2 linked regions of the Caenorhabditis elegans genome follow. The protein of the gene in region 1 interacts with the protein of each later gene in a pairwise test. Each region holds a gene or a part of one and is shown on either strand. Other genes may lie near its edges. The genes, in order: hlh-8 and spig-12.

Region 1 (6,324 bases):
AAATTTGGAAGCCGACCAAAAAAAGTTTTCCCACGATTATCATACTTTAATTCTGTTTCAATTATTTGTGTTAAGACATTCTAATTGTCGAAGCATTCTAAATTGCTCTGGATTTCTTTTTAAGATTTTTTTTTCAAAAATTTGGCACTTCGTCTTAACTTTAACTGGAAATTTAAAAAATTTAAATTTAGATTTAGATCTATGACCATCCTAATAAAAATGCAAATCTTTCCGATACAATATCAGTAATTTAGTGATAACTCTGTTTTTCAGTGCTTGGAGTAGTCACTAGTCTTGGATGTCAGTACCGCCGTGGTGAAGCTCTTCAAACGAATTCCGAATGGTGTGGGTTGTGCAATTTGTGTTGGCAGTGGAGAAAGCTTCCCGCCGACTATTACCCCAACTATTTGAATGAGGTCAATTGCGACCACAACGACGATGGATGCCTTTCAGGTATTTGACATTTGGGCTCCGATGGGCTCGTTTTTTTTCATAGACGCCCATCCATCACGCCGCTGACCCACACTTTTTTTAGGATTCGGAGAATGCAAGCCAATAATGAGGACGATCAATGTGATGAGACAGAATGGCGATGACTGGGTAAAAGAGTCAATTGATACCACTACTGGGTGTGAATGTCAAGTTGAAATTGGTTCATCATTGCATGGCTTAGTGGTCAAATGATAATTATGATTCAAAATTTTTTTTTACGTGTTTGTATTATAGTTTGATCATATTCACACATAGTTTCTGTTTGCGGGATAAACTTGTTTCATTTAACAATGGGCTTACTAATAGTCTCTTGCAAAATTCTCAAGCAAATTTTTAAGTTTTGAGCAAACGAAAATTGAAATCGAGTAGATATTATTAGACAGATTTGATACATCAAAAATGAGAATAAGGCACTATATCATGAGGACTATGTTGATTGAGAAGCATACATTATCAAATAAATTAGGAGCTGGCCAGTTTTTTCCATATTCGAAATTATTGCCAGTGAATTGGAGTGAGTTGATTTGGATTTGAATTGGGATTTGGAGTTGAGATGGGACACAGTTCATGAAATTCTTCTGAAAAAAAAACAAGGTGACGCGAATTCTCTTCAAAAATTGTACTTTTGTACTTTGACAAAAAGGATTTGCAGGATTACTGATGTTGTGCTAGTCAGACTAAACTGTTTTATGACCCACTATAAAAATTTGTATCAGTACAAAAACTTACGTTTTGGCGGCGGACAAGTCTGATACCAAGGCTGGGGCATCAGACAGTGTGGAGGAATGCTGGATGGAGCAGGAGGGGGAATATGTGCTGAAAAAAGTGAACTTTGTTTTTAAGACACGAATTTTATTCTCATAAGAATTTCAATCATAACAGTTTCAATTCACTCTGAAGCTGAGAATTTTCATTGTTATAAGTGCACAAAGGAAGCCCAGTACACTGTATTTCCTATTACTCCTGCATGTAAGACTAATTGTCGGTAGATTCGTAGAGATGCAAGACTAATAGAGGCTGCAAAACTAAGCAAAGAATTTTAAATTTTGATGATAATTTTTACATAGGTTATATGAAAACAAGTACGACGTTTATAAGTTCGATAAATGTTTAAGAAAGTGGTTAACTTTTCATTTATCCCTGATACAGTTTCCTATAAGATAACATAAAAGCTTTAGAATTTTAACAGCTAGAAAATACTAGTGCTGTTATTAGCCCCATTAGCTAACTAAAATTACAACTGAAAATTTTGAAACGAATTGTTTCTACATCAGTTATTACCCCATTATTTTGATGTAGTCAATTTTAGGTTCGTGTAAATTGATGATCAAATAATTCGGGAAAAATGATAGCTCTAATCATAACCTGACATTTTTCGAAAATATTATAATCCATTAAACTCAAAAAACGTTTCGTACTTCTATTTTCATAGTTTTGCCTAATTTTGAAAGCGGAAAATGCTAAGTTTATGAACATGTTCCAGCCTACGGAACAAATAAAAAATTGAAAATGAATTAACATCTTTGCTCACCAGATTGTAGTGGAGGCAACTGTGAAGGTCCAGCAATTGGTGTGTATCCATTGTTACCCCTCCACATATTGAAAGCCGACTGTAAATTGTATCCACGTTTTTCGTCGAAGATCGAATGGCCATACAGTTTGCATCCATTTTTTTGCATCTGAAATTGTTTTATTCAATTATCCCACAGTATCTCCAACTCAAAACCTCGTCAAGGAAGGATATGTAATCGGTTGCAATGCGTAGTGTGTGGATCTTGCTCATCTTGTCTGAGGGCATCGACGGGATCAGTTTACGCAAAAGTGTGAAAGCGTCATTGAGTTCCTGTAAACAAATCATAATACGAGTGATCTAAATGTTTTTTTTCGCGCATAAACAGTAGATAATGTTTATAAAGCATAAACATATCAAGATAGAGAAGAACTCATTAGGTCATTAGGATAGTTGTTATCACAGTTTTCGGCAATTTCCGGCAATTGCTAAAATTGACCAACTTGCCGAAATTGCCAATTGCCAGGTTTTTTTTGGTAGTTTTCAAACATAATTATATTTAGAAAACACTACCGCGTTTTTGTATTCATTTAGGTTTTTTTTGAAAAAGGGCTTAACGCCACGAGGTTTTGAAGTTTACGGCAATTGGTAGTTGTCGTGCACTTTTAGTGATATTCGGAATGCATTGCAATTTGCAATAGTTTCAAGACTCCATTTGGCGTTTCAAAGACGGTGTGGAATTACTAATTAACTTAATATTTTGGTAATTGTTTTTAAAAACTGCTAACAACTTAGACTTTATTTAAAAAATCGCCATCATCAATATCTTTTAAATTCGGCAAAAATATTGCTCAACCATCACTCATTTTCCCCATCAAAAACGTTTTGTTTAGCTAGCGCCTTGGCTCAGAAATGTCGTCCGTGGAAAGAAGAAAAATAAGTTTTCTGCCTTCAGCCTCTCTGATTCCTGTGATATTTTGAAATTGTCTCCAGATGTTCTCAGGATTCAGAAGGGACCTTTTCTTTTTATTGCCCCCCACCCTCTTCTCCCATCTCGCGTCTTGCATCTTCCTCTACCGTACTCCGAAAAGCAACTCAAAATTCTTACGGAAGGAGTTGAGGAAGTGGTTTAATGTTAGCCGTAAACGAAGGCGACGTTAGGAGTTTTGGAACGCAGCGAGCTAGCGAGCATGCCAGATGATGAGCCATAAACATTGCGCGGGAGAACAATAAAGTGTGTCGTCGAGCCTGGCGGTCAGGGTGATATGTGAAACTAGTTATTGAGGTGTCGGAAAAGTGTGAGATATGGCTTGGGAACGGAAGCTGTAAATGATATGCGATATGCGAAAGAGTCGTGTTCAATTTGGTTGCCGAGTTATGGTTTTAAAATTGGTTCCCCGGTAACATTTTTTTGTAACTAATTTTTTAAATACTAGATCGTAGGGGGAAGTAGAAGTAAAGAACTGGAATATTTATATAAATTTTGAAAAGAAGCAATGGCTCTACAGTTCCAATTACAGAATAATACCTTTTAAAAAAGTTCAGAAACGGTTTTGACGCAAAAAAACATGTTTGAATATTAAAAAAAGCACATTTTTGTCATTTTTTGATGTCGAAAAGACCGAAAATCATGTTTATTTAGTCATACCTTTTCTTTGCGAAATTTAGTATTTTATTCCACGTTTATTTCCTCGATACGGGTGAACATACTTATAATCAACAGATTTTTTTCAAATTTTGCGGATTGATCTACTGAAACTGTACCTTAATCAATGGAAAAAAACGTGAAAAAATTACCAAAGCGTGCAATGAAGGGGTATGGATTACAACGATACTGAACAGTAACAGATAATCTTAATGACCCGGTTTTTTTGGAGTGTTCGCTCACTAATTTATAGGATTTCGTGTGAAGGGGATATTTCATTGCTTACATGGCTAGCACTAATTTTATAATTCACTCAAACTTGATAACTTCAGTTGAAAATTCGACATTTTATTGCTAAGAAGAGAAAAATTTGCTCAAATATACTAATTACATAACAAAGATCAAAAGTTGTTCTCAACGCAAAACTGTCATTGAAAAATTGTGTGAAAGTCGTACGCAGAATAGATGCAACAAACAATGACCTGACTGACCTGACATGGTTTTTTTCATTTATAAAATGATAGTATCAATTCTAGGTTACTATGTTTGACTACGTTAAAAAAAACTATATATTTAATTTCTGTTTTTTTTTTCGAGCTGCTGATCTAGGTTGAAGCCTCTAAAATAACATTTTGAGAGAAAGGCGGTCATTTTCAAAATATATTAAACAACCCGAAACTCTCAAAAACAATTGAATGAACATTTACCTTGGTCCTTTGACGTTCCCGTCTGTTGGCACATGCTCTCTGCTGCACATTTTCCACTTCATTCTTTCGAACCACGCGTTCTCCTTTTCTACGAGCCACCATCTGTGAAAATCATATTTGAAATCGGTCAGTTCAAGTAATAAACATATGAAAAGTAACACATTAAAAAATCAACAAAAAAAACATACCTGGAACGTTAATGAGTGGAAGAAATGAGATCCAAACATATGCGTAACAGAGGATGGGCGGGGCTCCGCTACGAAGAATCTCTGCAGCGGTCCGCTTCTTCTTCTTTCTCTCGTGACTGCTCGGTGAAAAGAAAGGGGACGGGTGAGAACTCTATGCGGACAGTTATTCATGACTTCTTCTTTGTTTCGATAGTTGAAAAATTACCGCGGAAAAAAGAATTTGAGAGTGAAGGTAGAAGCAAAGCAACCTACACTAACACATAAAATGGTACAAATGTAGTATACATTCGAAAACCATTGAAACTGCTCCAAAATTTAGGAAAGTTGTCGAGTCTCTAACCATAGTTCAGCATGATTTCAGTGTTTTGAAACTGTTGAAAATTTAAGAAGAAATCTTGCAGCCCAATTTTAAAGTTGTACTTACTGAATTGAAACTTCACATCTTTCAAAAGTCCCATTCTATACCATCATGATACAAAATCAAGATTATGCAAATTGGTTTGAATATTTTATTAACGGTTATTCAAATTATCATTTTCGAAGTTCCAGTGACCTTATTCCTGAAATACTAAATTGTTTCAAAGTGTATTGTTTTCAATAAGTTTCATTATGAAATTGGGTGTTTGCAGACAATTTTGAGTCTAATAAAGCAATAAAAAAAATTCGACTACACCACTATTAAAATACTAAGGAAATGCGGTAATTAAGTAGTTTTGGTAATTATGTATTACATGTTTTGAGGCATAACTTGACTTTTACCGTAGAATTATTATGGAATTATAAGAATCGAGATGAGCGTCCTCGTTTAGTTAAATTTTGTAAATTCTTTTCAACTTACCAAACTAACTAAAAAATTTCGAATAACAGACAAAACATACTTCAAACTGTATGTAAAATAAACCCAATTATGACTAAACTCTATGCAAGCTCATTCCACGGATCACAAAAATATGTCAACCAACGAAACCTTGAGCAAATACATGATGTGCCGCAATACAGATTCCTTCATAAAAACCAAAATTATTGTAGTATAAAGTTAAACTTTTTTTAAAGATTTTTCTTTTATTGAAATTATGTCTGGTATTCGAAAAAAAAATTTCTTACGTTACTTGGCATTCTGTGTTTTCAATCTATAATAGTTGTCAATTAGGAAAATCGTTAGGACATACCATTAAAAAAACACACATAAAATAAATTTGTTTAAATCTGAAGTATGACATAAAAATGGAATTTGTGATTTCAAGCTTAAATAAAATCAGTAATTTTTGTTTTAATTTTTTTTCACATCGATATTTGGAATCAAGGGAAAATTTGGAATCAATAAAAAATATTTCCCAGGTTTCGGTAATATTTCCCATGTTTCCCATTTTCCTCGTTAGACTTAGGAATGGTGTTTTTCTAAGTAAGCCTGAAAATATGAAAGCATTTCACACGTTTTTTTTTAAGTTAAAAAATTTATTTTTAAATTGGCGGGGGTACCCATATTTTTTATCAAAATATGTCTTGATTCATAAATAAAACTTGTCCATTTTGTAACTCCAATTTACCGTAATCTTTTGTTAATCAGTAATAAACAGTTATTAATTTTAAAATCCAAAAACTCTTTTGATTTATCCAAAATGAGTAACATTGTCCATATTAAAAATCCGATAATCGTAAATGGTTTTGAATTCTTGATAAGAATTTTCTCAGTTTTGCAAGTAGGCCTTAAAACTAATCAATTATAAAAACAACAAATTGCCTACTTACTGCATTACTCAAAAAAAAAAGTCAAATAAATGT
Region 2 (3,620 bases), on another chromosome or scaffold:
GTTTTTCCCCAGTATTATACTTTTTAACTCACTGTTTCAGGAAATTTATTTGAAAACAGTGAGTTTTTCCAGTTAATATACTGTTTTTAGTTAGTTGATATAACTTCCCTTGCCACCGAATTTTTTATGAAATTAATTCAACTTTACCCATTTCAATGAAAAAGTTCAAAACAGCGGTTTTCAGAAACTCCGTCTTATTGGAATAAATGTTCTTCTGGTGATTCCCTACAAATTGCAAGTTTAATTTTAAAATTCAATTTAAAACAATTACTGTTTCAAAAAAATATTTTCAATATAGAATTTTTTGAACTGACTAGTATGCGGTTTTTTTTGGGAGCAAGTAACTATTTTTTGTTGCCCATATTTTTTTCGGCAGATTTTTCTCAAATTCGCTTCAGTTTCCAAAAAATGTCAAATTTTGATAATTTAAAAATTTTACTGTTTCAATGAAATTTCATAGTTTTGAATATTTTTTCAAAAGGTTTCACAATTTTCCTAACGTTTTGTCAGTTATTTCTAAACTCAATTGTCTGCTTAATGCAAATCCTAACAAGCTAGACACTAAAAAATTTTTTTGCAACTATTGGAAAAAAAAAGTTTCACTTTCTCAATGTCCATTAATTATCACACTTTTCATTTCTTCACTCATCGTTTTTTTTCACAGAAATAAATGATTCAAGGTCTTTTTTAAGATTTATTATATAGTTTTTTAGTGTTTTTTTCAAAGAATTATGTACAGAATGAATAAATATAAGTACCCGACATGAAAATTGACAAAAAAAAGTTCACAAAAAATGTAAATTTTTGTGAAAAATTACAAAATAACAACTAAAACACTAATGTCTAAACATTTCTATGCAGTTGACCTCGGCGATGATGATTCCACAGAAGATTCCGGTGATTCGGGTCTCGACGAGAGTGGGCTCACTGAGGCGGAGGAGGTGAAGAATTGTTCAAAGCCACGTGGCAGCGAGTTTTCTTTCCCGTTGAGCTGAGCCTGGAGCTCTCGGATGTGGGCGATGGTGGCCATGACGAGCTCGTATTGGTCAGTGTCTTCCTCGGCGGCAACCAATTGTCGGAGTCGGTTTGTTACCTGGAAATTTGAAAAATTAGAAAAAAAGTGGAATTTTTATATTTTGAAAAAAAATTTCTGTTTCAGAAAAAAAATGTAACATTTCAAATGTTGTATTTTTAATAATTCGTCGTAAAACCAAAAAAAAATATTTAGACACCAGACTACAAACTACAAAGGAGACGGACGTACGATATTTTTTTATATATAACTAATGATGATGATATTTGGATTTTTCAGTTTCAAATACAGATTTTTTTTTAAATTTTTATTCAAACTTATAAAAAATCACCAACTTTTTCCTTTTCTCTTCTCTCTGCTGACGTGGATTTTCGAATTTTCCTTGATTTTGGTGAAACGTGGGAGATGGTGTCACGTTGTGGACGAGCAGAAATATTCTTCATTTTTAGGAAAAGGAGACGAGTAGTTGAATAGCGGTCTGTGAAGAGTCAGAATGAGAATGGAGGTCCAGTTGGAGGGAGGAGGCGGGGTGTATCTGTGTACACCCAGCTGCTGTCCAGGCCACGCCTACCACAGGTGCGCGCGAGTACGGGTGGGGGGAAGAAGATAAAAGGGTGGAGAGAGGGAAAATGCCGATAGATAGACTGGGAGACATTTTACAACGGTATAACACAACAACAACGAAAAAAAGAAGACTGATCTCGGGCGGGCTCGAACCACCGACCTTCTGTGTGTTAGACAGATGTGATAACCACTACACCACGAGACCGCTGAGAAATGTGGGTTGGCGGGGTCTAGAGGAGCGGGAGGTAAACGGGGGAATTGTTTGGAATTTTTTGAGTACCCTTTTCAATACTCCAAGATGAAACATTACTTTTTACGTTTTTTTTTTAAATTATTTTGAGAAAAAGAAATGTTTAACTTTGTTTTCAAAACTCCGGTAGATCTACTATCATCCAAAATAGAACACATTTCTTAACAATATTCTGAAACAATATTTTTTTTTCAAAAGTTCACGAAAAATGTCAAATACTTCCAGTTTTGTTTTCAATTATTAAAGTTTCAAAACTGTATTTAAAGTTATAATAGTTTGAAAAAATTGAAAAAGCCTATCGACATAACATCGTTCAAAATGGAATAGTTTTTTTTTAAAGATAATATGAAACAGCAAAAATGTTTTGTTTGAAATTTAATTTTACGAAAACTAAATAATTCATTAAAACTGCGTCATTTTCATATGAAAATGTGTTAAAACAGCTTATAATTTTTTTCAAACAATTAAATTTTAAAAAAATCATTCCACTATTTCAAAATGTTCATTAAATTTTTGAAAAAAGTTGTTTCCAGTACTTATTGTTCTTGTAAGTGTAAAGTATTAATTTGAAGAGAAAGAACATCATCACCCGGTACTCATTATTTTACTATACAGATTCGTTGAAACAGTATATTTTCTTTGGATTAAATGGTTTTCTCTGATTCATCAAGATCTGAAATGTGCATTAAAAGTGCTTTCAAAAAGTTTCAAAACATAAGGATTTTGAAACAGTAATTTTTTTTCTTCAAATTTTCTCACAGATTCCACCTGTACTCTTACAAAACCCAATTACTGCCCATACCCGCCCGGAGCAGCTGTATCAATTTTTGCCCCCGAGGGGGCGAGCAGCAGTTGATGAGCCCCTAAGAAGTTGAGCTTTTCCTGCATCGAACAGCTGCGCGCATTTTCACTTTTGCACCCTTCTAGGGGGTCCACAAAAGCAGAAACGACTAGTACGAATTTTGGGCAAAATTGAAGATAGGGGGTCCCCTGAAATGGAAATGTGTGGGAGGGAAAAGAGGCTCTTTGAAATAAAATATTGGGCGAATGGGAGAACACAGAGGGACCGGGAATAAAAATAAAATTTAGTGGAAAATGTTTTCACTGTTTCAATAAACTATTTTCTAAGATTGAGTACTTAATGAAACAATATTCCTCTTTTTCTTATACAAGTGTAATATAAATTTGGTATAGTATAGTTCGTAATAGTCAAACTTTTCTGCAACCAAACTCGGAACGATTATTTTTTTTTAAATTGATAGATTTCTAAAAATTGAATTTGAAATTTTTACTGTTGCAGAAATATAGAAAAAAAACGTATTAACTCTAAAAAAAATAATGGATCTAAAGATTTTTCCTTAAAGTTTTGCATACAAAAATTCAAAAAAAAACCAAACTATTTTCAAATTCCTACTGGATTAACGGGTTTTTTTCAATAATTTTGCAGTCAACATTTTTTGTAAAATGTTGTTAATTTTAAACCACAGTTGCGCGGGAATTGAAAAATATTTTATTTACTTTTTGAATTTTTTTTTACATTTCTTACAGTTATACTTAGCCATTACGATCTATTTTATTAAGACTGTTACGAAATAATTTAAAAAAACAGACTCGGATTTCTATAGGAACGTTAACATTAGGAATTTCCTTTATTTCTAAACTACCTAAAACAGTAGAACAATTTTTTCTCAATTTTTTAAAAACTAATTCGCATGAGCTAACGGCAGCTGCTGAAACCAAATAAAAAATGGACTTTTTTAAAAAATTTTCTCT

The links.
Region 2: the proteins of hlh-8 (region 1) and spig-12 interact in a two-hybrid assay, tested with the Caenorhabditis elegans proteins (one large-scale study listed by BioGRID).

Annotation. Positions count from the first base shown.
Region 1 is NC_003284.9:8,114,770-8,121,093, reverse strand, and holds hlh-8 (Twist-related protein), read right to left. Parts: upstream 4,638-6,324; 5' UTR 4,543-4,637; intron 4,457-4,542; coding exon 4,355-4,456; intron 3,330-4,354; exon of another isoform or gene 3,183-3,329; intron 2,336-3,182; coding exon 2,219-2,335; intron 2,172-2,218; coding exon 2,024-2,171; intron 1,309-2,023; coding exon 1,222-1,308; intron 1,071-1,221; coding exon 988-1,070; 3' UTR 754-987; downstream 1-753. Other genes in the region: C02B8.12 (Cpw-wpc domain-containing protein), read left to right, coding at 274-453, 536-684. UniProt on the Caenorhabditis elegans protein: Acts as a transcriptional regulator. Involved in postembryonic mesodermal cell fate specification. Activates ceh-24 and egl-15 during mesodermal patterning.
Region 2 is NC_003282.8:16,380,702-16,384,321, forward strand, and holds spig-12 (BHLH domain-containing protein), read right to left. Parts: upstream 1,515-3,620; 5' UTR 1,477-1,514; coding exon 1,369-1,476; intron 1,220-1,368; exon of another isoform or gene 1,196-1,219; intron 1,094-1,195; coding exon 854-1,093; 3' UTR 677-853; downstream 1-676.